Linked DNA regions of Arabidopsis thaliana. The protein of the gene in region 2 purifies or fractionates together with the protein of the main gene of each other region. This does not show direct contact. Each region holds a gene or a part of one and is shown on either strand. Other genes may lie near its edges. The genes, in order: VSP1, AG, REF6 and CHR17.

The links.
Region 1: the proteins of AG (region 2) and VSP1 purify together in Arabidopsis thaliana (co-purification; one study listed by BioGRID). This does not show direct contact.
Region 3: the proteins of AG (region 2) and REF6 purify together in Arabidopsis thaliana (affinity purification with mass spectrometry, with the first as the bait; one study listed by BioGRID). This does not show direct contact.
Region 4: the proteins of AG (region 2) and CHR17 purify together in Arabidopsis thaliana (affinity purification with mass spectrometry, with the first as the bait; one study listed by BioGRID). This does not show direct contact.

What each region holds. Positions count from the first base shown.
Region 1 is NC_003076.8:8,507,074-8,511,045, reverse strand, and holds VSP1 (vegetative storage protein 1), read left to right. Parts: upstream 1-1,844; 5' UTR 1,845-2,156; coding exon 2,157-2,581; intron 2,582-2,790; coding exon 2,791-3,003; intron 3,004-3,068; coding exon of another isoform or gene 3,069-3,088; coding exon 3,089-3,263; 3' UTR 3,264-3,456; downstream 3,457-3,972. UniProt on the Arabidopsis thaliana protein: May function as somatic storage protein during early seedling development.
Region 2 is NC_003075.7:10,381,213-10,388,868, forward strand, and holds AG (K-box region and MADS-box transcription factor family protein), read left to right. Parts: upstream 1-1,643; 5' UTR 1,644-2,468; intron 2,469-2,699; 5' UTR 2,700-2,704; coding exon of another isoform or gene 2,705-2,828; coding exon 2,829-2,934; intron 2,935-5,769; coding exon 5,770-5,859; intron 5,860-5,933; coding exon of another isoform or gene 5,934-5,941; coding exon 5,942-6,015; intron 6,016-6,117; coding exon 6,118-6,179; intron 6,180-6,266; coding exon 6,267-6,366; intron 6,367-6,452; coding exon 6,453-6,494; intron 6,495-6,578; coding exon 6,579-6,620; coding exon of another isoform or gene 6,621-6,653; exon of another isoform or gene 6,654-6,750; coding exon 6,751-6,947; intron 6,948-7,056; coding exon 7,057-7,060; 3' UTR 7,061-7,327; downstream 7,328-7,656. UniProt on the Arabidopsis thaliana protein: Probable transcription factor involved in the control of organ identity during the early development of flowers. Is required for normal development of stamens and carpels in the wild-type flower.
Region 3 is NC_003074.8:17,933,336-17,941,284, forward strand, and holds REF6 (relative of early flowering 6), read left to right. Parts: upstream 1-1,920; 5' UTR 1,921-2,273; coding exon 2,274-3,153; intron 3,154-3,352; coding exon 3,353-3,431; intron 3,432-3,562; coding exon 3,563-3,630; intron 3,631-3,711; exon of another isoform or gene 3,712-3,735; coding exon 3,736-3,886; intron 3,887-3,968; coding exon 3,969-4,591; intron 4,592-4,661; coding exon 4,662-5,153; intron 5,154-5,250; coding exon 5,251-5,633; intron 5,634-5,714; coding exon 5,715-7,121; 3' UTR 7,122-7,457; downstream 7,458-7,949. Other genes in the region: AT3G48425 (DNAse I-like superfamily protein), read left to right, coding at 1-15, 124-202, 521-582, 695-781, 880-983, 1,073-1,158. UniProt on the Arabidopsis thaliana protein: Histone demethylase that demethylates 'Lys-27' (H3K27me) of histone H3, thus acting as a positive regulator of gene expression. Demethylates both tri- (H3K27me3) and di-methylated (H3K27me2) H3K27me.
Region 4 is NC_003076.8:6,196,140-6,203,836, forward strand, and holds the start of CHR17 (chromatin remodeling factor17), read right to left. Parts: upstream 6,028-7,697; 5' UTR 5,920-6,027; coding exon 5,707-5,919; intron 5,423-5,706; coding exon 5,291-5,422; intron 5,214-5,290; coding exon 5,107-5,213; intron 5,015-5,106; coding exon 4,902-5,014; intron 4,681-4,901; coding exon 4,583-4,680; intron 4,491-4,582; coding exon 4,311-4,490; intron 4,228-4,310; coding exon 4,006-4,227; intron 3,796-4,005; coding exon 3,661-3,795; intron 3,592-3,660; coding exon 3,309-3,591; intron 3,227-3,308; coding exon 3,153-3,226; intron 3,042-3,152; coding exon 2,821-3,041; intron 2,745-2,820; coding exon 2,657-2,744; intron 2,581-2,656; coding exon 2,487-2,580; intron 2,404-2,486; coding exon 2,215-2,403; intron 2,125-2,214; coding exon 2,090-2,124; intron 1,975-2,089; coding exon 1,898-1,974; intron 1,802-1,897; coding exon 1,712-1,801; intron 1,614-1,711; coding exon 1,544-1,613; intron 1,450-1,543; coding exon 1,395-1,449; intron 1,323-1,394; and 12 more. Other genes in the region: AT5G18630 (alpha/beta-Hydrolases superfamily protein), read left to right, coding at 6,826-6,898, 7,277-7,356, 7,589-7,654. UniProt on the Arabidopsis thaliana protein: Possesses intrinsic ATP-dependent nucleosome-remodeling activity. Constitutes the catalytic subunit of several complexes capable of forming ordered nucleosome arrays on chromatin. Involved in the formation of nucleosome distribution patterns.

The DNA.
Region 1 (3,972 bases), on a different chromosome or scaffold from region 2:
CTTCTTAGAAAAAAAATGTCATCAAAGGTTATATCATATATAATTCATTAGTCAACTGATATTAACCATTAAAAGATTTCTATCAAGTAAATACCGGAACTTAACAAAAGTAATTAGTAAGCTAGTGATAGAGAGGTCTCAATAATTGTTGACATAGAAAAAAAGAGGGCTCGCAAATTAGTAAGCTAAAATTCATTTTTATCCGTTTAGTAAGCTAAATTAGTTAAAGAAACAGAACCAGACCGTCAAGACGTGTGATGAAGCAATGCGTTTTATTATGGAAACAACATTAACTTTGGAATGCGACATGCAATATGCACGTATCTTTCTTTTGGAGTCATTTGAATCGTGTGTGTGTGTGTGTAGCTATGTATGTAATTATTGAGTACTTACGCAACTTAAATTTCGTATGGGACTTTTAGTGATAAATATACAGTATACCATTTTTCACGTTTAATGTCACATAATTTTTTACATTTACAATATTCATAAAGTTTCCATGCATTCATTTTTTTCGAACAATTCCGCTATGTATGTTAGACGTTACATATGCAAGTAAAAGAAACAAAATATAAATAATATACGAAAAATCTCTTCATTTTAAACGTTACCGCAACTAGATCATTCGACTATTTCAGTATTTCAATATTCCACTAAGAAATCTATAATACCAATTTTGACCGGTGTGATTTACACGTTTCACATGGCGAACATTTATCTTCGTGACACAATCTTCTATCATCTTTTGAAGATTGACTGAGTAAATATTGTTCGCGCGCTGGTGTACTCATTTAGTATTAGAGGTGACAAATTCTCTTGCAACAAGTTTTCTGCAAAACAAATTATTGGAAAAGAGTCTCATGACTAAATTATTCCCAAAATGTTTTCGGTTTCAGCTTGATGAAGAGGAAGACGTAATTGTTGAATTTGCTTATCCTTTGTTGCCTCCAAAATGTTCTCGTTGTGGTAAATGGGGTCATCTAGGGGATGTGTGCGTGATTAAACCTCAGTCTCCAATGAAAGAAAAAGCAATAGTAGTAGAGGAAGGTGAGATTGTGTCTGTTGATTCTGCAAACATAATTCAGACTATTCCAGATACTAAGACTGTCAACAAAGTTAAAGCTGTAGAAGAATATAAGAATTCATAGTAGTTGGTAGCACAGAAATTCTTAGAGTTGACTAAATTATAGTATAAATAGTTATCCATTAGTTCTCATAGAAACAAGAAAACTTAAATTTATGTCGTTGCAAAACCTTGCTTTGTTTTTGTTTAGTTTTCTTGTTAATCGGGTGAATTCTTGAGTCCATTTTAATCTCCATGGTCTATAGAAATTCATGTTTTCTGGTCATGCAAGACGTTTACCGATCGCCAAACATTTTAAAAAATAGTTGAAGAAAATCAAGCTTTAACCTAAAATCAACATAAGAACTCCAAATTTTAAGCGGAAGCTGCTACTACCCCACCACAACTTGATTTGCAACACTTTGCCTTAATATATATAAATTCTTTAAGCTATTTTAAATAGATCTCACGAGGTTGTATGCCTTAGAAAAAATAATTATATTGTTGGAAGAACGTACAATTATCGTTGAAACTATAATTATCGTTGTACAGTACACCCATCTTTTCTCGCTCATTGCGGAAGCTGTTGCCAATTACTCGTTTATACACATCACGTTTTGCATTATTGTTTTTGTCAACTACTCTATCAATTATTTATCAAAGAAATAAAAACTTTACTCTATAAATTATTTCCGCAAACTCAAGTTATACACGCAAACATCATCATGTCCACGTACATTTTTCTACTAATGTGGAATAATAACTTCACAGTAATTGAAACCCTGATCCAAAATCAACAAGCACAAAAGCGAACGATAATAATAGAACTTAAACAACGACACGCCAAATTCTAATTTAGCACAGTCTCAACGTGCTCTAAAAACGAGTGGTGTAAGTGAAAATATCTCGTTGGTTACAAGCATAATGGGACCAACAAGCATTTGCATCACTCGAAGCCATACGTACACTTATCTCCGCATTTTCCCATCGGTCTTCATAAGTAATCATACCTAACCCACCTCATTATATAATACCACCCTTTGTGTCACACAAATAAACACCATAAACTAAACAATAAACCATACAAAAAAATATGAAAATCCTCTCACTTTCACTACTCTTGCTCTTGGCCGCTACGGTCTCCCACGTCCAGTCTTCGGCATCCGTTCCAGGGCTCATCGAACTCCTCGAATCGAACACCATCTTTGGGAACGAAGCCGAACTCTTAGAGAAAGAGGGACTGTCCATCAACTACCCCAACTGCAGAAGCTGGCACCTTGGTGTTGAGACCTCTAACATCATAAACTTCGACACGGTGCCCGCAAATTGCAAAGCCTATGTTGAAGACTACTTGATCACTTCCAAACAGTACCAATACGACTCCAAAACTGTAAACAAAGAGGCATATTTTTACGCCAAAGGACTTGCCCTAAAGAACGATACCGTCAATGTTTGGATCTTTGACCTAGACGACACTCTCCTCTCTAGTATTCCCTACTACGCTAAATATGGATATGGGTATATACATATTATTGTACCTATCTACATTGAATTAATAATATTATCGTCATATAGTTTTTTTGAAAATGTTTAGCTGTCATATATGGAAAGACACGTTTCATTTGACAACTTTAAATATTTTAACTAACCCATCTAACTGTTTTTTTGGGTCCATATCTACTTTGTGATTTCATTCTAATGTAGATTTTTTTTTGTTGGATTCTTAGGACCGAGAACACAGCCCCGGGGGCGTACTGGTCGTGGTTAGAGTCCGGAGAATCAACTCCAGGACTCCCGGAGACCTTGCATCTATACGAAAACCTCTTGGAACTCGGGATTGAACCCATCATAATCTCTGACAGATGGAAAAAATTGTCAGAAGTCACTGTCGAGAATCTCAAGGCTGTTGGTGTAACAAAATGGAAGCATCTCATACTCAAGTAAGAATTAATCAAGTAGCTTAGTTATATATAGCAAATAATGTCATATGTGATTGAATATCGAGGACTATATATGGAAACGCAGGCCAAACGGATCGAAGTTGACGCAAGTGGTGTACAAGTCAAAGGTTAGGAATAGCCTTGTGAAGAAAGGGTACAACATCGTTGGGAATATTGGAGACCAATGGGCTGATTTGGTTGAGGATACTCCTGGAAGGGTTTTTAAGCTCCCAAATCCACTCTACTACGTACCTTCTTAATTAAGCATCTATCTTCATGGCATTGTCCCCTTGTATCCATTTCATATCTATGTCGTTTCGTTTATCTTTGTAGCCGTTTTGGCACCACTGCTTAAATAAAATGCCAATCCTATCATAACTCAATAAGTACAACGACTTCGTACTAAATTTTGTTTTTCGTTAAAGGGATCATTAATCAAGTTTCCATGAAATGATATCTCCATGTAAATATAACAGTTAACACAACACTATACCAATCTCTTTAATCATGTATAGAGTATAGACTATCATTTTCTATGAATATCTTCTCACCATTTACGTTAAGCTGGTAGTGGTATAACACTCATTCCTTTACGTTATATGATGAAACCAATGTTTAAACCGACTAATCCTTAGGATTGATATTAGTTGGGAACACATCATCTTAATATGATTCGAGTTTTAACTACATTCCCTTTAGAGTGATTAAAGTATATGTTGTTTGGTAATATAGTTTTTTTTTTCTTTGACATCAGATGTTTGGTCAATAGTTTTTATGAAATAAAAACATAAACTTTTGTCGTTGCAACTTTTTTTTTTTGTTGTTAACCAGGGTACTTTCAGACCGAATAATTTAAATAGTTGAAGAATTTTAATCCCTAAACTATACGCACATGAAGACTTCATATTTCAAATGGAAACTACTATTCTACCACTACAAGAATATAGGCTCTTTCCGACGGACGAAATC
Region 2 (7,656 bases):
ATGGACTGTATATACATATAGGTTTCTCTTATCTCTATCAAATTACCTTAAATGGGTTCATAAAGATGGAGATCAAAGACTACACATCACATGCTACTCTCCCTCTTCTTTTGGCATAACCTTACTCCATTTATACATTGTGCTCCTCAATTATTCAACATTTTTTAAAAATAACTTATTTAACAAAATGTTAGAAAATATCTACCCAATTTTTTTCTTCCACATACGAGCTACAAAGATCTTTATCAAATAAAACAAGAAAGATTATTAATCCATATTTTGGGTTAAATTTTAATCCATTTAGCCAATTAGGAGAACTATTTTAACAGTTAGATACTTTTCAACAAAATTTATTAAGTAGTCACCTATGTATATTCATATAGTAGTTTCACAAACAATATGGAGAGCTGTGATCTTGAAGAGGGCGACAAAAGTCAAAAAGAAAATGTAAAAAAAGAGAGAGAGATTAAAGTAGTTGGAGAAGAGAGAAAAGTCTGGTTACCTTCTAATTGAGTCAGAAGCATTACACTTAAATAACTTTCCAAATTAAGCCCTACGTCTTGTCCAGCCCCTTAAAAGTACGCTTCATCTCCCTATTTCCCCTATAAACCCTAAAACCCTATTTATCTTATTAATTTATCATTTTTTTTATATGTCAATATCACAACAAGTAAACATCATCAACTTCAAATCTCACTAACATAAATAGTATGCTAATTTTCTTCACTATCTGAGTAATTTTCTCCTTCTTTTTACATCATTCGATTCTATATTTGCCACACCATTAAATAGATAAGTATATTGGTTCTTACTACTAATAATCAGTTTAGCCATATATCTAATTACACAGTTTTCTTTTATATGTTACTTTATATTTGTACACCATCAGTTACTATATACGGAATAAATTACACCTCATCATGTAATTACAATATTATCATAAATTTTTTGAAATTCTATTCTTTAATATTTTCAGTATCCAGAATCCATTTTCTTATATTTATTCTGGCAAAATAATGTAAAATGGTATCAAATATACAACACCATATATTTGTTTATAAATAACTTCCTTAATTAGTGAAACAAATTTTCCTGCAGAATGTCACTTAAATCTTTAAAACAATTCACAAAAGAAAAGGGAATAGAGCTGAAATTTTTTCCTCTTTAAAAAGATCAAGATTTAGTAAAAACTAGAAACAAAGAAGAAGATCGATATTTGTTGTAACAAAAAAATGTACTGATCAGATTTACCCAAAGATTTTAGTGCCTCAAAAACTTTCACATGAAAAGCAAAGACAAGTAATGGTAAGTAGAGTCTGCATCTCATGAGTGATTGCCCAACTTGAACCCTCTTTTCATTTAGACCTTTGTGAAAGACCACACAAGAACTACCCACCAATAACTCTCTCTTTTTTTCTTCATTTCCAAAAACTATTTATTCATTTCTACAATTTCTCAATTTGGGGGTGTCCTTAATAAGTATTATATTTATGAAAAGTCCGGATGTATGGTGGGTGTTATTTATGGTAATTAACACTATTTATTAATAATATTTTTCATGTGATTTCAAAAGCTGATGTACTCATGCTTTGTGAACCTTTAGATTGCTCTATGTCAATCTTTTATTTTAACCTATCATATGTCTAAATGTACTGAAAAGAAACACCAGTTTAATTAATTATACTTCCCTCATATATAACTATCAACCAAGTACAAAACTTTTGTCAATTCTCAAAATCAACTTTCACCACATAATTATCTAACATGTGTATGTTCCAAAACCAGTTTAAATAGAATTACTTTTCAGAAAATACATGTATATTAACTCTATCTAATAAAGAAGAAACACATACTTATCTCATAGATTCCATTCATAAAACTATGCTTTAGTGAGTAAGAAAACCAGTAATCAAACACAAATTGACAAGACACTATATGGATGTAAAAAGTGGGGAAAAATGGTGATAAATAGTAGAGAAAATTAAAAAGAAAAAAAATATTCCTTTATAAATGTATATACCCATCTCTTCACCAGCACAACCTTACCTTCCATTTTCTGCAACTTCTCCAAATCTCATACTTTCCAGAAAATCATTTTCCCAAGAAAAATAAAACTTTCCCCTTTGTTCTTCTCCCCCCAACAGGTCAGGCTAGTATTTTGTTGTTCCCCAATCCTTTCAAACATTATCTTCTTCATAATATTACTTTGCTTCACTTCTTTTGGTCCTTAAACCAAATTTTTGTTCTTCTTTAGTTTCCTTTTTTCCCGTTTTGATTTGATTCTTTTTATGTTATTTAGAGAGAAACAAGATTCACAAATTCTCTGATCTTCTTTAACTCTTTAAAACTTTTCTTTTTCACACTCTAGATTTAAATTATCCCTATGGTTACAAAACAATTTTGTTCTTAGTTTATAACTTGTGTATTACCATCCTTTCTTGATTAACTCTTGTTAGGAGAATATGAATGTAAGATCAATAAAGTTCTTCAACTTTATAATTCCTTCTATAAGATGTGTGTCGGCAACAGAATTAAATTAAATCTTTATAGTTTAACTTTAATCTCAACCATAATTCAAAAGAATAGAAAACATGAAGAATCTTGAGTCTTTTCAAGAAAATCTTGATTGGTTTTTTGTTGGATTCTTGTAATTCTGTACTAATCAAATTTTGCCCTAAACGTTTTTGGCTTTGGAGCAGCAATCACGGCGTACCAATCGGAGCTAGGAGGAGATTCCTCTCCCTTGAGGAAATCTGGGAGAGGAAAGATCGAAATCAAACGGATCGAGAACACAACGAATCGTCAAGTCACTTTTTGCAAACGTAGAAATGGTTTGCTCAAGAAAGCTTACGAGCTCTCTGTTCTTTGTGATGCTGAAGTCGCACTCATCGTCTTCTCTAGCCGTGGTCGTCTCTATGAGTACTCTAACAACAGGTTTCTTCTTCTTCTCGTGCTCTGTTCTTACTTTATTAATAATTAAATTATTTTTAAAGTCCGATTTAGGGTTTTATGTTTATGTTAAAGCATAAATCTTTTACGAGGGTTTTCGATCTTCTAAGCTAGATTTGATTCTCTTCTTCTTGAATGCTCTTATGGGTAGGATTATTTTTCACTTTTTTCCTTCATATTCCACACACATATATATATAAACACACTAACATTAGTGGGAATATTTGTTTGATATGTTTATTTTATTTACTTCGGGGGTTTTTGTAACAATTTTGTAGATCTAATTTCTTGTTCTTCATGTGTATATTAATTTTCCCTTAAGACTTAAATAAAAAGAGAGAATTTGTTATATATAGATATATGAAGTGAGGGAAATGGTACAAAGTTAAAGGAGATCTGAGTGAGAGTTAGATAATAAATGAAAAGAAATAAGAAACCATCAGGGTTTTTTCTAATGTGGAGTTTTAGATTCAGTTTTGTAGAACTAAGATTCACTTTGTTGGGTGTTCTTTCTTCACTCATTTCTGTTATTATAATAATAATAAAATCTTATATCTTTCTATTTTCCTTACTAACAAGTACTTGAAGATTTAGATATATTTATAGATCTGGTGTTGTAATAGGTAAAAACTTGATTTTTATGACTATAAAAGTAAGTTTTGGGAAACAAATTGGGGAGAGAGTAAGGAAGGACTATGAGGTCATATCTTCTGTTTTGTGATCATCCATCCTCCATTGTTGTTAATGTCTGTGTCTCTCTTTTTCTTCTCTTCTTTCTCTTACTTTCCTTTCTTATCTCTAGCTCTCTTTCTCTCTCATGAATTATATCATATCATATATTTGATACAAACACATGTGATGGTAAGTGAGAGTGAATAAGGTGAAACTAGCTAGATTTTTGAGTTTTCATGAAATTTTAACTTATATGAGTGATAGAAAATAATGGAACTTATACGTACATGTAGGACAATTTAGATGGTTATCTAAGTTTTTGTTTTTGTTTTCTCTTGAGAATGTTAAATGTTAGTGTTATTTTTGTAGTTTTGGAAAATTATATATGAGCTAAGATTAGTTTAGAAGTGGTCAAAAGAAACATAGATTTGAAATTTCAACTGAATTTTCAAGATTTCAAATAGTCAATGAAACAAGGAGGTAATTAAGACAAATTAGCTTATGGGGACTCTTTTTTGTTATTCCTTAAAATTACTCTTTTTAAAATTAAAAATAACTAATCTCATTTCGAACTACATTACTCAAACTAGTAATCTCTAATTCGACACGCAATTTCCAAATACTTATTAGTAGAGAGTCCCACGTGATTACTTTCTTCTCCACCAAAACATAAAACATGTCAAGATTAAATGGTGTTTGAAAATTAAAAGATCAATTTTCTTAATCGTTTACAGTTGTCAACTCTCATGTCCTGAAATATATAATTCTCATGTCCAAAACAAGAAAAGCTAACAACGACTTCAAATTAAATCAGTCAATCAAAATTAGTCTTCATTTACCTACTAATTTCTTTTTATATATCCGATGGGTACTCTACGAAATCAGAGTTTCGTTTCTTTATTTATTTTCTTTTATAAGATTTTTGAGGTTTTTTCAGAGGTTGGAATTGAGCGCAAGATTAGGTTTTGGGTCTGTAAGATTTGTTGTCTTTGTTAAAGAATCTTTGATCACGTCATCACTCAGATATTATTTCTTTTTATTTTTCACTTGTATTTTTACTAATTTATTATAAAGTTTTGTTAGTTTCAGTTCTTGACTTCTGACAAGAAGGTTTTATGTCATAATGAATTAATTTGTAACCTATTTATAAATTCAAAAATGTCATCATATTACTACTTTTGACCATTTAATATTAGATTTCTCATTTGGTCAATACCCAATGTTCATATTACATATATAGAGACAAAAATTATAAGGATACTAAATTGTTCATATTTCTTGGAAGTAAAAAGATTAATGATCACTGAATAAATAGATTTGGCATAGAAGTATAGCATTGGAATTGCTTCAACATCTTTGGTGTAGATAGATTTATGCAATTTCTCTTTCTTTTTGAAGTATCTTTTTTTTTTCTAGAGAGAGAATAATGTTAGGGATTTTTATCATTTTCTCTCTCATTATGGGTACTGAGAGGAAAGTGAGATTTTTAGTACGGATCCAATAGTTTAAGAGTTTGGTCTGCCTTCTACGATCCAAAAAAATCTACGGTCATGATCTCTCCATCGAGAAGGTTGAGAGTTCAGACATCAAAGTCTATAATATGTCATTGTAATACGTATTTGTGTATATATATCTATGTACAAGTACATATACAGGAAACTCAAGAAAAAAGAATAAATGGTAAATTTAATTATATTCCAAATAAGGAAAGTATGGAACGTTGTGATGTTACTCGGACAAGTCATTTAGTTACATCCATCACGTTTAAATTTAATCCAATGGTTACAATTTTAATACTATCAAATGTCTATTGGATTTATACCCAATGTGTTAATGGGTTGTTGACACATGTCACATGTCTGAAACCCTAGACATGTTCAGACCAATCATGTCACTCTAATTTTGCCAGCATGGCAGTTGGCAGCCAATCACTAGCTCGATAAATTTAAGGTTTCAGAGGAATTTTAATTTATTTAGGGTTCATATTGTTTCATAAAATGATTCTTTATTTGTTACAACTTTAAGGAAATATTTTATTAACTATTTAATTGTTCCCTTTTCTTATATTACTTTTGTTTTTTCTTCACATCATGTGTCACATTAAGTTGCATTTCTTCTGACTCAAAAGAACCGATGTTTGCTTTTAAGGTTTCGTATTAGAATCACTTAACTGTGCAAGTGGTCGATTTGACCCTATCAATTTTATTTTTTATTACTTATCAAAATGCAGATTTAAGCGTAGATTAAGTTTAGAAAATAGGTAGTTAATAGGTCTAATTAACTTATTAATTCCTTTAAAAAAATTATTGCAGTGTAAAAGGGACTATTGAGAGGTACAAGAAGGCAATATCGGACAATTCTAACACCGGATCGGTGGCAGAAATTAATGCACAGGTAAGTGGTAACTTAATATTACACGAATGATTTTAATTAATATATGATGACATGACAACATTGTTCATTCTTTTACTCTTTTTTTTTTTGTTGTTGTTGTAGTATTATCAACAAGAATCAGCCAAATTGCGTCAACAAATAATCAGCATACAAAACTCCAACAGGTTAATTATCTAACTGACTTGAAATATTTGATTACTTGGTTGTTATTAACTATTTGATATATTAACATATGTTGATAAATCAATTAGGCAATTGATGGGTGAGACGATAGGGTCAATGTCTCCCAAAGAGCTCAGGAACTTGGAAGGCAGATTAGAGAGAAGTATTACCCGAATCCGATCCAAGAAGGTAATTCTATTTTTTTTATAAATGCTTCAATATAATATCAAATTAAATCTATATGCCTTGTTGCTAATTTTTGTTTAATTTTACAGAATGAGCTCTTATTTTCTGAAATCGACTACATGCAGAAAAGAGTAAGAAATAAATCTTAACTTAATTTCTATTCTTAATATGTTCTTATAATAATTTTGCTCATTTGCATTGCACCGATTAAGCAGGAAGTTGATTTGCATAACGATAACCAGATTCTTCGTGCAAAGGTAAAAGTACACATTATATATCAATTTCTATAATTTTCCCTATTGTTTCAATAAATATTATATGAAAACGATTAAAATGGTGAAAGTACTTGTAGATAAATAGTTTATGACATATATTTGTGTAATGTAGATAGCTGAAAATGAGAGGAACAATCCGAGTATAAGTCTAATGCCAGGAGGATCTAACTACGAGCAGCTTATGCCACCACCTCAAACGCAATCTCAACCGTTTGATTCACGGAATTATTTCCAAGTCGCGGCATTGCAACCTAACAATCACCATTACTCATCCGCGGGTCGCCAAGACCAAACCGCTCTCCAGTTAGTGTAAGGACACAAAATCTTGCTCCGATCAATCATTCTAGTCTTATATTATTAATCGGTCCATTTTGTAAAACTTGACAGCATGGATTTGGTCTTTTATGCTGTTTTGTAGGTAATATAGGCTGAAGGAAATGGCCGGGAGTGAATAAAAACCAGAATTGGGTTGAGCAAGCAATATAAAGCTAATGCATGTTATATATATATTTATCCCATGAATGTTGTATCAGTGAATTTTATGCTTATGTTGATGTGAAATTAATATCTTAAAGACATGTCATTAATGTGCTTAATTTGCTTCAAAACATCTATGTGTATAAGTGTACTATTAGTTCAATTGTTGTATTTAATTACCAATTCCTGCTCTATTAATGATTTTATTATAGAAAAGTCTCAATATGATAATGATATATATTCATGTGCTGAGTTCCATCCTCCTCCTCCTTCTCCCCATGTGGTACAGTTGCAAAATGTCGAAACATTCGTTCATTTTGTAGCTGCCTACCAGGAATACATTCACCACCCGGTCTCAATATCTCGCGTCTTGCTCGGTGAAAACACATACAAGAGTATTAACCATATTTTCTTTAAATGCACATACAATAGCTTATCTCTGCCTAGCTTCATTTCGTAAACCAAGAGCAAACATTATCGGATGGCTCCATACCTGTTCTCAATAAATCATGGTCATAATCAAGCTCATTTTCCTAGCCTC
Region 3 (7,949 bases), on a different chromosome or scaffold from region 2:
CGACTTAAATGTCAGGTAATGAGGAAGTTTTTTCTATATCTTCTCTTGCTATACTCTTTTCCTTAAGCCCTTACAGAATAAAAGTTGATGTTATTTCCTCGATTCGATTTTTGTAATACGCAGTCATGAGGAGATAGATGTTAGCCACCCAGAATTTTTTGCTACAGCAAAGCTTAATGGTTATGTTCCTCCAAACAAAGAGGTAAGGAATACCATATTTTGTACGATTTATTCATTATCATTATAGCTTTTATCTAAAAACAGAGCTGGCTCTCAATAATGTTATTTTCCGTCGGCCTTTTATATCTCTTCCTATCTTGTCTCTTCATCTGCATTGTGACCCTGCTATTGTTGATGACTTTACTACGCCTGTATTTCTCTTCCTATCTTGTCTCTTCATCTGCATTGTGACCCTGCTATTGTTGATGACTTTACTACGCCTGAACCGAAAGGTTCTCCGTGAGATGGACCTTTAAATCATACAATGACTACAGTGGTTTTGAGTTTTTTGATTATGCAGGACTGCGGACAGCCTGGATTTACACCATCTGAGAGAGGACGCTTCGGGGCAACTATAAAAGAGTATGCGTAATATGTCTTTGCACTGCGAAGTCTTAGTAGTAGTACTTTCTAGAATACAGATTAGAGTTACTAAACATGTGATTATAAATTATATTTATGGGAACTGTTACAGAGGAAGGCTTGTTGATGCATACCGGTATCTACACAAGGAGCAAGAAATGGAAAGTGGCTTCTCATGGTCGGGGAATCCCATTGGAAAGTGAGTGGATACTACACATTTTAGTTTTATGGCTTGGAGTCCAGAACCTCCGCATGTTTCTAAAGCTATATATTGATTTTTTGTTTTGGTTGCCATAGGTACCGGGGAAAGAGGATGAGGATCGACTATTTTCTGGTCTCTGAACAACTCAAAGACCGTATAGTTTCTTGTAAGATGCACGGTCGTGGGATAGAACTTGAAGGTGCCATAGATAAACCTGTTCATCACACAGATTCATAGAAGATTATTATTAGCTCTTTTTGCAACAATTTGGTTCTTGATTTGTTTCAGGTTTCCATGGGAGTGATCATTGTCCGGTTACACTCGAGCTTTCGAAGCCATCTTCAGAAATGGAACAGAACCAGGTGTCAAACTAAAATCATCTTCTTCTGTATTAGAACATAAGGCCTTCTTAGGAACAAGCCAAAGCTTATTTTATCAGAGAATTTAATTTTTACTTTGCCGAGAGATGCATTGAAGATTTGATTGAGGTTATTGAGACACTTATTTAGCCTTGTTACTCTGATGAACTCTCAAATGTACTTATAATTATTGTTGTGCTTATCTTAATATGTTTTATTTTCCTAAGAAATGTTGATATTTTTAATTGTGAATCTTCTTCATTTAATTATTTTTATTTATTAACTTTTGAGTCATTTCTAAAGATTTAGAGCTTTTGTTGGTGTATTTTAAGCATATTATACCCTTTGCTTTATTGTCTTAGTCAGTAGGTAGAGGCAACATTCGTTAAACCAATGGCTCATTCAAATTCTTTTTTTTGGGCTCATTCATATTCATAAAAATCAAATTTGGATTCAGCATAACAAACACAATAATATATGTAGACATTTATATCATACATTAATTTCTACTAATTTCATGAACTACCAAAGACTAAAAATGTTTAATGAGAAATATCTTTTTTAAAACCATCAAAAATTTTACTCTTAAAATTGGGATTTATGTTTGGTTTTAAAAAGGAGTTTTTGAATGTGCAAACGGATTTACAGAGAGGACAACAACAAATGTGTGTTAGAAATGGCAGAATCGTAAATAATAAGAAAATCATACCCTTTTAAAAACCATTTCTCTCTCTAACTAAGTGTTCTTTACTTGTTTTAATACAGAGATATCACAATCTCTTGCTCTGCCCAAACCCATCCCAACCCCCTAAAAAAAATACAATTTTTTCCTCTGTTTCTTTAATCCAATAAAAACAGAGAGACCTAAGAAACGAGATCAACAAAGCCCGTCGTTTTTTTCGAGGAAAAGTGAATGACCCTTTAAGAAAATAACTCTATTGGCCGGAGAAATGGTGGAGACTCGTCGATTCTCTTAAAGTTTGTTTTTTTTTCCTCTCTTCAAAATTTTTGTTCTGTTTATACTCTGTAATGGCGTTTTAATTTGATACCTAGAAGTTAAAGTGAACAAATTTTGAGAGAAAGTCTCTTTTTTTTGTTCTTCCCTGTGTGTGTGAGAGAGAGAGAGAGATATGGCGGTTTCAGAGCAGAGTCAAGATGTGTTTCCATGGCTTAAATCGTTACCGGTTGCTCCAGAGTTCAGACCTACTCTAGCAGAGTTTCAAGATCCGATCGCTTACATTTTGAAGATTGAAGAAGAAGCTTCTAGATATGGAATCTGTAAAATTCTGCCTCCACTGCCTCCTCCTTCCAAAAAAACCTCGATTTCTAATCTCAACCGTTCTCTGGCGGCAAGAGCGGCGGCGAGGGTTCGTGACGGCGGCTTTGGCGCGTGTGATTATGACGGTGGTCCCACATTCGCCACGCGCCAGCAGCAGATCGGGTTTTGCCCTAGGAAACAGCGTCCAGTGCAGAGACCTGTGTGGCAGAGTGGAGAGGAGTACTCTTTTGGTGAGTTCGAGTTTAAAGCTAAGAACTTTGAGAAGAATTATCTCAAGAAATGTGGTAAAAAGAGTCAACTCTCTGCCCTTGAAATTGAAACACTTTACTGGAGAGCCACTGTGGATAAACCCTTCTCTGTTGAGTATGCCAATGACATGCCTGGCTCGGCTTTTATCCCTCTGAGTCTGGCTGCTGCGAGGAGGAGAGAGTCTGGTGGTGAAGGAGGAACAGTTGGTGAGACCGCTTGGAACATGAGGGCAATGTCTAGAGCCGAAGGATCATTGCTTAAGTTCATGAAGGAAGAGATCCCTGGAGTTACATCACCAATGGTGTATGTTGCTATGATGTTTAGTTGGTTTGCTTGGCATGTGGAGGACCATGACCTTCATAGTCTCAATTACTTGCATATGGGTGCTGGTAAGACTTGGTACGGTGTGCCAAAGGATGCTGCTCTGGCTTTTGAGGAGGTTGTTAGGGTTCATGGTTACGGTGAAGAGCTCAATCCTCTTGGTGAGTATGATAAGTGTTATGTGTTAGTGACTCATAGTTACTCAATGTATCAATTCATTGTTCTGATTGTTGGCTTTGTTGTGTCTCTGTTCTTTTTGTTGCTTTTAAATGCTTTTCTTTCCCTCCAAAAGTTGTCAGGGGTAGAAGCTGTATGCAAGCAAACTAATTGGTTATGCCTCTTACGTTCTTGTCTTATTAGTGACATTTTCTACTCTTGGTGAGAAGACAACTGTGATGTCTCCTGAAGTATTTGTTAAAGCCGGAATACCGTGTTGCAGGTAATGGTTTTTTATGTTTGTGCTCTGTTTATCTCATCATCTTGTTGTTTGCATGTCTCTTCTTTGGTCTCTTATAATTGGCACACTTTTTCTTCTTCTGGTTTTTCACGCAAGTGGTTTTTTTGTATCAGGTTAGTGCAAAATCCTGGAGAGTTTGTCGTCACCTTTCCGGGAGCTTATCATTCGGGATTTAGTCATGGTGAGTAAGCGACCTATATTTAGTATCTTTAAGTCAACCATTCAAAGGCCTAGTATGTTGAAATAACTTATATTATCCATAAAAACAATCGTGGGGGTTGTACAGGATTTAATTTTGGAGAAGCATCTAACATTGCCACTCCCGAATGGTTGAGAATGGCTAAAGATGCTGCTATCCGGCGAGCTGCTATAAATTACCCTCCAATGGTTTCTCATCTCCAGCTACTTTATGACTTTGTATTGGCTCTAGGTTCTAGGTACTCTTTCTTTTCTATAGACACACTCAAACTTTTTAAGCTGCTTGAAGGGCTCATATAAGGTATGTTTCACTCATTGCAGAGTGCCAACAAGCATCAATCCCAAACCACGGAGTTCTAGATTAAAAGATAAGGCAAGAAGCGAAGGAGAAAGATTGACCAAAAAGCTATTTGTGCAAAACATTATCCACAACAACGAATTGCTTTCTTCTCTCGGAAAAGGATCCCCAGTGGCCCTTCTCCCACAGAGTTCCTCAGATATATCAGTTTGTTCTGACCTGCGAATTGGATCCCATTTGATAACCAACCAGGAAAACCCAATCCAGTTAAAGTGTGAGGACTTAAGTTCTGATAGTGTTGTGGTTGATCTCAGTAACGGTTTAAAGGATACAGTTTCAGTGAAAGAAAAATTTACATCTTTATGTGAAAGGAGCAGAAATCACCTAGCAAGCACGGAGAAGGACACTCAAGAAACTCTGTCTGATGCTGAAAGGAGGAAGAATGATGCAGCTGTTGCGCTTTCGGATCAAAGGCTTTTCTCTTGTGTTACATGTGGAGTCTTAAGCTTTGATTGTGTAGCTATCGTTCAACCTAAAGAAGCAGCTGCTAGATATCTCATGTCTGCAGATTGTAGCTTCTTCAATGATTGGACAGCTGCTTCTGGATCTGCAAATCTTGGTCAGGCTGCAAGATCACTTCATCCTCGTAAGTTACAGGTCGCACTTTCGGTTATTGGCTGTTATTTAGCATTTACTAACTTTTTTTCATCATGCAGAAAGCAAAGAGAAGCATGATGTAAATTACTTCTACAATGTTCCTGTTCAAACTATGGATCATTCAGTGAAGACTGGCGATCAAAAAACTTCAACAACTTCCCCGACAATAGCGCATAAAGATAATGATGTTCTTGGGATGTTAGCTTCAGCATATGGAGACTCTTCTGATTCCGAGGAAGAAGATCAAAAAGGCTTAGTTACCCCTAGTTCCAAAGGGGAAACAAAAACGTATGATCAAGAAGGTTCAGATGGCCATGAGGAGGCTAGAGATGGTAGAACTTCTGATTTTAACTGCCAGAGACTAACCAGCGAACAGAATGGGTTAAGCAAAGGCGGAAAATCATCACTTCTGGAAATAGCTTTACCATTTATTCCAAGATCTGATGACGATTCATGTCGGTTGCACGTGTTTTGTCTTGAGCATGCTGCGGAAGTGGAACAGCAACTTCGTCCTTTTGGGGGGATTAACTTAATGTTACTGTGCCATCCAGGTAACATCAAAACTACAAGATTCATTTTATTAGTATTTCTGTATCAGTTATGCAATTCTTTAGTCTTTTTCATCATTTTGACGCACAACATTTGCAGAGTACCCCAGGATAGAGGCTGAAGCAAAGATAGTTGCCGAAGAGCTCGTCATCAATCACGAATGGAATGATACTGAATTCAGGAATGTGACCCGAGAGGATGAGGAAACGATTCAGGCAGCGTTGGATAATGTTGAAGCTAAGGGTGGGAACAGTGATTGGACCGTAAAATTGGGTGTTAACCTTTCTTACAGCGCTATTCTCAGTCGCTCTCCTCTGTACAGTAAGCAGATGCCGTATAACTCCATCATATACAAGGCGTTCGGTCGCAGCTCTCCAGTAGCGAGCTCACCCTCGAAACCCAAAGTCTCTGGTAAAAGATCGTCCAGACAGAGGAAATATGTTGTTGGAAAATGGTGTGGTAAGGTTTGGATGTCACATCAGGTACTATTGTCTAACCTGAATCCATACTAATTCAGACATTAGTACACTTCTGTTTGGTTCAATTTGCTTTTCTTTCTTCAGGTGCATCCCTTTTTGCTGGAGCAGGACTTAGAGGGGGAAGAATCTGAAAGAAGTTGTCATCTTCGAGTTGCTATGGATGAGGATGCCACTGGAAAGAGATCGTTTCCTAATAATGTTTCCAGGGATTCGACAACAATGTTTGGAAGAAAGTATTGTAGGAAGAGAAAGATAAGAGCAAAGGCGGTGCCACGCAAGAAGCTTACTTCTTTTAAGAGGGAAGATGGAGTTTCTGATGACACATCAGAAGATCATTCTTATAAGCAGCAATGGAGGGCTTCCGGGAATGAGGAAGAGTCTTATTTTGAGACAGGGAACACAGCTTCTGGTGATTCATCAAATCAAATGTCTGATCCGCACAAGGGAATTATCAGACATAAAGGTTATAAAGAATTTGAGTCAGATGATGAGGTTTCAGACCGTTCACTTGGGGAAGAGTATACTGTACGGGCATGTGCAGCTTCAGAGAGCTCAATGGAGAATGGCTCTCAGCATTCAATGTATGACCATGATGATGATGATGATGATATCGACAGGCAGCCTAGGGGGATTCCAAGGAGCCAACAGACAAGAGTTTTTAGGAATCCAGTTTCATATGAGTCAGAAGATAATGGCGTTTATCAGCAAAGCGGAAGAATATCCATAAGTAATAGGCAAGCTAATCGAATGGTTGGTGAATATGATTCAGCAGAGAATTCTTTGGAGGAACGAGGCTTTTGCAGTACAGGGAAAAGGCAAACCAGGTCAACAGCCAAACGAATAGCAAAAACCAAGACAGTTCAGAGTTCGAGAGACACAAAAGGTCGCTTTTTGCAAGAATTTGCATCTGGAAAGAAGAATGAAGAATTGGATTCATACATGGAGGGACCTAGCACACGGCTTAGGGTGAGACATCAGAAGCCGTCGAGAGGGTCTTTAGAAACAAAACCAAAGAAGATTGGTAAGAAGAGAAGTGGTAATGCTTCCTTCTCCAGAGTTGCAACTGAAAAAGATGTGGAGGAAAAAGAAGAAGAAGAAGAAGAAGAAGAGAATGAGGAAGAGGAATGTGCAGCATACCAATGTAACATGGAGGGTTGCACGATGAGTTTCAGTTCGGAAAAACAGTTGATGTTACACAAAAGAAACATATGCCCAATTAAAGGCTGTGGTAAAAACTTCTTCTCACACAAGTATTTGGTTCAACACCAGCGTGTTCACTCAGACGACCGTCCTCTGAAATGTCCATGGAAGGGATGTAAGATGACGTTCAAGTGGGCTTGGTCTAGAACCGAGCACATAAGGGTTCACACAGGCGCTAGGCCTTATGTTTGCGCTGAACCGGATTGTGGTCAAACATTCAGGTTTGTCTCTGACTTCAGCCGGCATAAAAGGAAGACCGGTCATTCGGTTAAGAAGACCAACAAAAGGTGATTTAGGCTCTAACATGGAATCTATCATGAAGAAGATTACTCCATTGATCTATTAGAAGAAAATTGGATTGTACGAATATTAGGGGTTTTCTAAGTGTGTATGTCTCTCTGGTCCTCTGTCAATTCGGGATTATAAAGTCAAAGTCTTAACATTTGGAATAGCCATTGTTTGTTGCAGACGTTTTCACTTTCAGACAGATTCTCTCTTTGTTGTATTCTCTATTTTTGCAGTTGAATGAATCTGTAACAACAACAAATCCTGGTGTAGGAAAAGCATTGTGTTACTCAAGTATTTGACATATATGGTTGTATACGTGGCTTATCCTGGTTGGTTGACAGTCAGAGTTCATCGCCGTGGACTTCATTTGACTTTGATAAAGACTCAAACCTACCAAATTGCTAATGAATGACATTACCTGTGTCAACTAGGATGTAAAACTCTCTGACTTCAGCACACGGCACAAACGAAAGACCAAATGACTTAACATTTGGAATTGCCATTGTTTGTTGCATAAAGATTCATCTCTTTGTTGTGTTCTCTCTCGTCTTCTTCAGTTAGTCTATAATAACAATCCTGGTGTAGAGAGAGACTTTGATTTGATAAATAAAGGAGCTGCTTGTACAATTAAAAGCTATGTTGCATAATTATGAAATATCAAAATACGATAAGGACTTAGTTGCAATTCTCAAAGAAATATCTGAAACGCATAATTTTAAGTTAAAAAAGTGTGCATGAAATGTGAACTATTGGACCTTGTCAACAAATTAAAGCAACGGTTTCTTTGAGATTCTCATTCGTGACGCTATAAACGACAAATGTAATAAAGTA
Region 4 (7,697 bases), on a different chromosome or scaffold from region 2:
TGATCATAAATCTTTCTGATTACTTAGTGATGGATTCAACACAAGCCTTCTTATTTCCTACGCTTTCCCTGCAGAGACATAAAGTTTTTTTTTAGTTAGGATCAGAAATAGATGGTCTGTCTGCTTTGCATGAATTAACCAGTAAAATGAAAAACTCTTTTTATGTTTTGGAAATGATTTTGAGTACCGAGCTCACATAATCATCCATTGACAGCTGCTTTCGTTTCTTCAGAAGAGATGAAGGGCTCTCATTTGCTTGCCTACCCGAAGGTCGTTTTGATGGCGTTGCACTCTGAAACAAGTTGTAGAACAGATCATGAGAAACAATTCCACAGCATCTCATCAGTAAATGAAAATGTAAACTTAAAATGTTCTTCGCACAAAAAAAAAAAAATGTTCCTTCAAGTCCTCACCTTTGAAAGCTTCTTCTCTTTTCGGGCTTGCCTCTCTCTCTCATCAAATTCTTGATTCTCTTTCTCAATCAACCTGATTAGTGTGTCACATCTCCTTGCAAGTTCCTGAGTTGTGCGGGATTTTACAAACCAGTCAAACCTAAACAAGGGGGATGTCCGAAACGCTGCCTTTAGCTCATCCCAGTTTCCATACCCAAGTTTATGGACCATGCATATCTGATAATCACAAGTTCATCGGGTCAATATCATATTAGAATAAAACAATAACAATGAAATCTCAACAAAGAGTTTGATAAATAGATGTCATACCATGAAACGGTCGCACTCTTCATTGTACAGCTTCCCTTTGTTCTGACCATATTGAATCTTCAGTTCCAGCCACGGGTTTCTGTAGCGATCCAGTTTCTTCCCAATAGCTTTCATGATTTCATCTTTCCTAGAGATTCTTGCTTCCCCTCTCTCAATATTCTTGATGATTCTGTCGTAATCTACAATTTTTACAAAGGAAAACAAGAGGCAGAGCTTACTTAGGATAAATATCCAACTTTGTCGCACTGCAAACACTCATTAACTTTACTTAACAATCTAAAGTTACTAACCATTCAGCTCTTTATATCGCACTTGGAAAACTTGAGCATATCGTTCAACCTCTTCCTCAGTTTTCCCTTCCATCTCAGAGGCAATACTCTTTATGTCGTTCCGGCCATACTTCTCACAAGCCCTAATGAAGGCATTGAAGTCTCTTCTGCTCCATGTTGAGAAACCCTAAAAAATATCAACTCCATTAAATTATAAAAAAACCATCAAAAACAAATGTCAACCCACAGTAAGGTCGAATGGTTTGGCTTGCCTCTTCCAGCAATAGCTCCTTTTCTTCCACTTCTTCAGCAGTTAAGGGATCTCCAACTTCTGCAAAATTATTTCTTAAGTAATAGATTCAGTAAAATAATGTAAGAAAAGAGGGCAAAGACTGAGAAAGACCTTCAGGTTCATCAACCTCAATTGTGTCTTTCATTTGAGTTTTCTGATGTGCTTGCTGAAACCAGAGTGAAACAAATTGCTATTCAGAACTAATCAGACACAAAAGCTGCATAAATTACATAACATGTTGATAAACTTGTTATTCCCACCATAAGGTATCGCACTTCTTTTTCATACAGCTCAGTCAGCCTCTGAATGTTAAAGAACTGAAAATCATGCCTGCAGGATGGACAAGAAATTAGATTTTTACGATAAAAGTACTATAAATAAGACAGGGAAAAGGCTAAATGCAGAGTGGAGACAATTGAGGTACTCACAATTGGGGCATGCGTGGAATTCTAGGCTCTTTAGGTTTAGCTGGAGCACCTTGTCGCAACGTTTGCTTGAAGTATTCAACTTCAGAGTAGCTAAAGGGTGGGTAGAGAAAAGTAAATTGTTGAAGTTAGATATTGTTTAGGAAGACAGGATAGACCACGTAATGAAAAAGTAGAAGTAATATTTACTTGCGCTTTCTCTCTCTTTTTGGTGGATCATTCCAATTTTCACTCACAATCTTTTTAAAATCCACCTTGCTCTCATCCTACCAAACAAAATTAAAAAAGAAATCAGGAAACGATATTCGAAAAACTGCAGAGCATAACCACAGTATGCGTTAAACCTTTCCTTCAATCATTCAATTAATTATCCAAGAATACCTTGTTGTCATCGTCAAAATCATAAAAGTCAGCACCTGCAACAAACCAAAAACTATCTTGTTTGGACATCCCATTACCCATGCAAGGGAGTTACCATTGGAAAAAGGGATAAATAGCACACTTACTGTCATCCATTTTAAACTGTATTGCATCTTCAGTAAATTTCTTCATCTTGGCATCAAGTTCAGCCGTTGCCTCTTCTCCTTTGGCAATGATTCTGTCAATATCCTCATCCGTAATTGTGCTATCTTTAGAACTAAACACCATTTCAGCACCATATCTCACCATTTGAAGCAACTCATCCTTATTAACAGCTGGAAAGCAAAGAAAAGAAATCAGTATATATATGTAAGAGAAAATCCAATACATCTAACAGCCTCAGTACACAAGCACTTACTTTTCTGTTCTGCCAATCTCCCTTGCTGAATAACCAGAGCATCAAGTGCCAACTTCTTGTAAGCTCTCTCAATGACTTTAGCCTCAATAGCATTCTGCATAAGACCAATGCAGAATTAGTTCAAGTTCTCCAGGTCATTCTTACTTCATACACATGGGTACAAGAGTAACCTCGGTGCAGAACCGGAACACTTGAACTTCTTTTTTTTGACCAATCCTATGTGCACGATCCTGAGCTTGCAAGTCAACTTGAGGGTTCCTGCCATAATCCACCCACCTCATTAGGCATAAAAGAAAACACTCATAAATTACAATGGACACAAAAAGAGCCTTACCAGTCACTATCATAGAGGATCACAACATCTGCAGTAGCAAGATTGATACCAAGTCCTCCAGCTCTAGTGGATAACAAGAAAACGAATTTCTCACTTCCTGGCTTGTTATAGGCTTCTATGGAAGCATCTCGTTCGTCACCACCAGTATTTCCATCAATACGGCAGTACTGGTAACCACGATACATTAGGTAATCCTCGAGAATATCCAAAAGCCTTGTCATCTGATACAGATGAGCAAAATCGTTGGAATAAGCACAAAGAACCAAGAAAGATATCACTCAGAAAAAAGGAATCAAAGATAGGAACAATTATTTGTTTGCGTTAATGAATACCTGAGAAAATATCAGAACCCTTGAATCTCGATCCTTCAACTTAGGTAGCAATTTATCTAAGAGAACCATCTTACCTAGAAACAAGAACATGTAAAGAGAAAATAACTAAGCCAATTGCCACATTTCTGAATGATCTACTTGTAATGTAAATCTTACCTGCGTTTGTTACAAGGTGATCTCCTGTAGTATATGGGGGACCAGGCTCCGCACCCTGGAAGAGATAAGGGTGATTGCAGCATTTCCGCAATTGCATTGCTATGTTCAACAGACGTTTGCGTTCTCCACCACCATTAACCACTTCAAGATCCTTCTGCAGTAAAGCCTTGTAGTACTGTTTTTGCATTTGAGACATGCCAACTTTGAGTATTGTCTCCTTTTTTGGAGGTAAGCCTTTCTCTACATCTGATTTTAACCTCCGAAGAAGAAATGGTCGCAGAACCTACAAAGATGAGGTAAATGATTAGCATAAGAACTTAGAGAATAACCTTGATAAAATATGAGTACATACCTTGTGAAGTTGTTGAACAACTTCTTGCTGGTCGTTTTCACCAGAAATTTGAAACCACTCGTCAAAAGTTTCTGCTGAACTAAAAACCTCAGGGAGAAGAAAATTGAGAAGGGCCCACAATTCATGGAGATTATTCTGTAGTAGAAACATATGAAATGAATACAATATTAACTCAAGCAAATCAAGTACAGAAGATAGTAAGAAGCATGTCTAAGGAACACGAAAAGAAAAAAAAACTAAGTTCAACAGACTCAAGCAAGAAAGTAGTTTCAACATAGGCAGAAGCAATCTGACAGAAAAATTGAAGGATCTAAACAATTATAGATCAAAAGATTTGACAAGTACCTGAAGGGGGGTTCCCGTGATAAGAAGCCGATAGTTGGTGCTGAAAAGTCTCATGGTTTTCGAAAGGAGTGAATTCTCATTTTTAATTCGATGTGCTTCATCAATGATTATATATCGCCAGCTAAAACGGCGCAATGTTGTCTTCTCTTTGATAGCCATCTCAAAGCTTGTTACACAAATGTCGAATTTCCCTGCAACTAGCAGTTCTTCACGAATATGTCTCTGCATTATTTAAAATATATCTCAGAATCCTGCCAGGTGCATATAAATGCAACCATTCAAATGTAAGAGCTATTATGACTTACTCTTTCCTCGGGATTACCGAGAAATTTCACAGCACGCAGGACAGGACAAAATCGGCGAATTTCATTCATCCAGTTACCAAGGGTTGATTTTGGAGCAACTACCATATGAGGGCCATTAATTCCCCTGTACTCATGCAGGTAAGCCAACAAAGAAATGGTTTGAAGCGTCTTCCCCAGACCCTAGACCATGAACAAAAACAATAAAGATTAGCATCAGATAACATTAGAGAGCTGAAAAATCTTATTATATGCTAAGATAATTAGTGGTTTACCATTTCATCTGCAAGAATCCCATTTATGCCGTTCTCATACAGCCGAATGAGCCAGTTTAAACCAGCTAATTGGTAATCTCTTAACTTCCCCTGAATACCTGCAATATGAAGAGTATGAAGATCAGATCTCTAAATTCTACAGAATTTATGCAGTCCTACCTAGAAATTGTGAGCTCGCAACTGAAGAATATATCAAACAACTCTACCAATCAAAGAAGTGGGCATAAGGTGTCAAATCCTATAATAACTTCGACTCGCAATAGGACTTGAGCAAACATACGCTATATCAAGATATTAGGAGCAAAACAAAGGTACTTACAAGCGGGCTGAGTGAGCAACCGTGTGCCTCCAGATCCAACTATACCACCCTCTTCTTCTTTTAAACACTCTTCATCTTCCTCTTCCTCGGTTAGTTTGGAAGAATGGCGACCCCTGACGATAAAGTGAAACCCAATAAATTATATTTCTGGAAACTTAATATGAATAACCACAATTTATTTTGAGATAAGTTGCACTCAACACACCTTCCTTTTCCCTTCTTCTGGGACGGAGACGGGTCACTTTTAGCAAAATGTGCAAATAACTCAGTTTGCTGCAGAAGATACTTTATCCTCCCCTTTCCTTTATTGTTCTAATAAATGGAATGATTGAGTTATTTCAATACCTCTGGATACTAAAGACAAGCAGCTCAGTTATTTACTAACTTACCATATCAGCATCTATGGAAGCATTTTGGGAGTCTAAGATTTGCTGAATTTTCTGCTTCTTCATCTTCTGCATTTCTTTGAGTCTAGCCTTCTCACGTTTGCTGATCTCAGCTTTCTCCTCGTCTTCTTCGTCCTACATATAACCATCAAATTATGAAAAGAGTGACCAAATATCCTCACGAGTCACATGAATGTACCATCATAATGAGCGACCACCCATCATTGTAAGCACTTCTAAGCATAAACCTTCAAACAAAGAGAGTCGAAACCAAAAGACACCCAAATATCGAATATACGCTCAAAGGAAACCCTAATCTTACTTAGAATACATTCAGATTTCCAAATACAGCAATCCCCGAATTCACAGCCGACATGCGAATGTAAATCGAAGAGTGGAAAACAGAAACGAAGACATACCTCTTCAGCGTCATCTTCTACGGGGACAACCTCGTCGTCAGAGACAGGTGCTTCGTCGGGCGCAACATCTTCCTCGTCAGAGCCCGCAGAGCGAGCGACGGCCTCGAGCTCGTCATCATCTTCTTCCACATTGGCCTGATCGTTAACTTGCTCCTCTTCCTCCGACGAGTAAGCCTCGTCTGAAGAAACTTCCCGCTTCGAAGCTCTAGCCATCGACGCGCCTCTACGAATCCTGATTTCGTCTGAGAGATCGAATCGAGGGTTCCTGAGTTTTTTTTGCTTTGGTTAGTAAATAAACAAAAGTGAAATTAAAAGCAACAAACCCGACGTTTGAAACGACCGTAGCTTCTATTTTACCCCGTTGATTTCGAGAAATCAAATCTACGGCTGAGATGTGCCACGTTGGCTTGACTTATAAAGATTCTCCCGCCACTTGAGAAGTAAGAGTTTCGGAAATTCCCGCCTTGGAATTCGGGCTTTAAAGGCCCATGGGCTCGAAGTTAAACTTAGAAGAAAGCGAAAGTCAAAAAGGTCAACTTCTCGTTCTTATAACGGAACGGCCTTATCCATTTATCCGCCCGAATCACGTATCTGACACCTCAGCACTTGAAGTTGCGACACGCTACACACCTAAAATTCCAATAATACCCTTTGAAAGAGCCTACACGCTTGTCTCATGCACCTTTGCGTATAGAGGATGAAAGTGGAAGTTAAGAAAAAAAAAACCGAATATTCGTATTTTAATCGCCGTTTCTTTTCTTCTATTAGCTTCTGTTTCGCAAGATCACGACTTCTATATAATAATATATAAGCTCGCCGTATAATTTTCTTGCCGGGAATAATCTCCGATCATCGTCGGAAATTTCCGAATTGTTGTAAAAGAAGTCCAATTTAGGCTTTGGATCCTCAGTTTAATTTATCTGGGACTTTTGGTTGCTGAAATCTCTTTCGGGTTTTGTCCTAATCCTCATTAGTTTGGGTTTCGTGAGTCTCGTTTTATAAGGTATATTTTTGGCTAATTTGCTTCCGAATTCTGCTTTGTTTTAGCTCAATTTTGCCCTTAACATTGGTTGATGAACAGAGGATGATGTGGTTGTGTTTATTGTCTTCTTGCAGAACATGGGACAAAAGAGATTGTTGTTCTTGCTGGCAGTTTTTACTTTTCTTGTTTCATCTTCATATGGTAGAGGTGGTAATGCAACTTCTATAATGATTCTATGTCTGTTTCCTTTATTGGGACTTCCAGTTTTTTTATTCTCCTGAGTCTCTCTGAGCTTAATTAAGATTTTAAACTTTCTGTGTAATGTGAAGTGCTTGGGAAATTGGAAATTTAATCTGGCTACAGTGATTTTTCATTAAGGCCTAATTACATGTTCTATCATGTTTGGAACAAATCAATTCATAATCCTTGTAGCATCATCATATACATAAGGAACCATGAAGGTCAAAATATTGATTTCAAAGCTTTATGTTTTCGACAATTTCATGTTCTTGGTATGAGTTGTGAGGCTACGAAGGAGTTAAGACTGAAGCAAGTGGATTTATGTTAGCTTCTTTCTTCTAACTGCAGTTCTCAAGTTGAAGAGCGATGATGATCGACCTGTTTACAACCATACGCTTGCCGTCACGCTTGTGGAGTATGCCTCTGCGGTAAGTTAATGGCAGATTAGTGAAGTAGTAAAAGACCTTTGATAATGATTTAGCTTCAAAACGTAATACCCTGTAGAACGAATGTCATTTATATCTAGTGTTCTGCAAGTGAGAAGAAATTACACTTGTCCTCTTCATATTTTCATTTATCATTATTTGCACTACTAGAGAAAAGAGATGATGCTGATAACGTACATAAGATGAGTGAATCAAGTTTGTAAGATGTATGCAGGTCTATGAGTCTGATTTGACAAAACTCTTCACTTGGACGTGCGAAAGATGCAATGGTTTGACAAAGGTAAAAAACACATGTTGAAGCAGATCACTGTTTGAACTTTGAA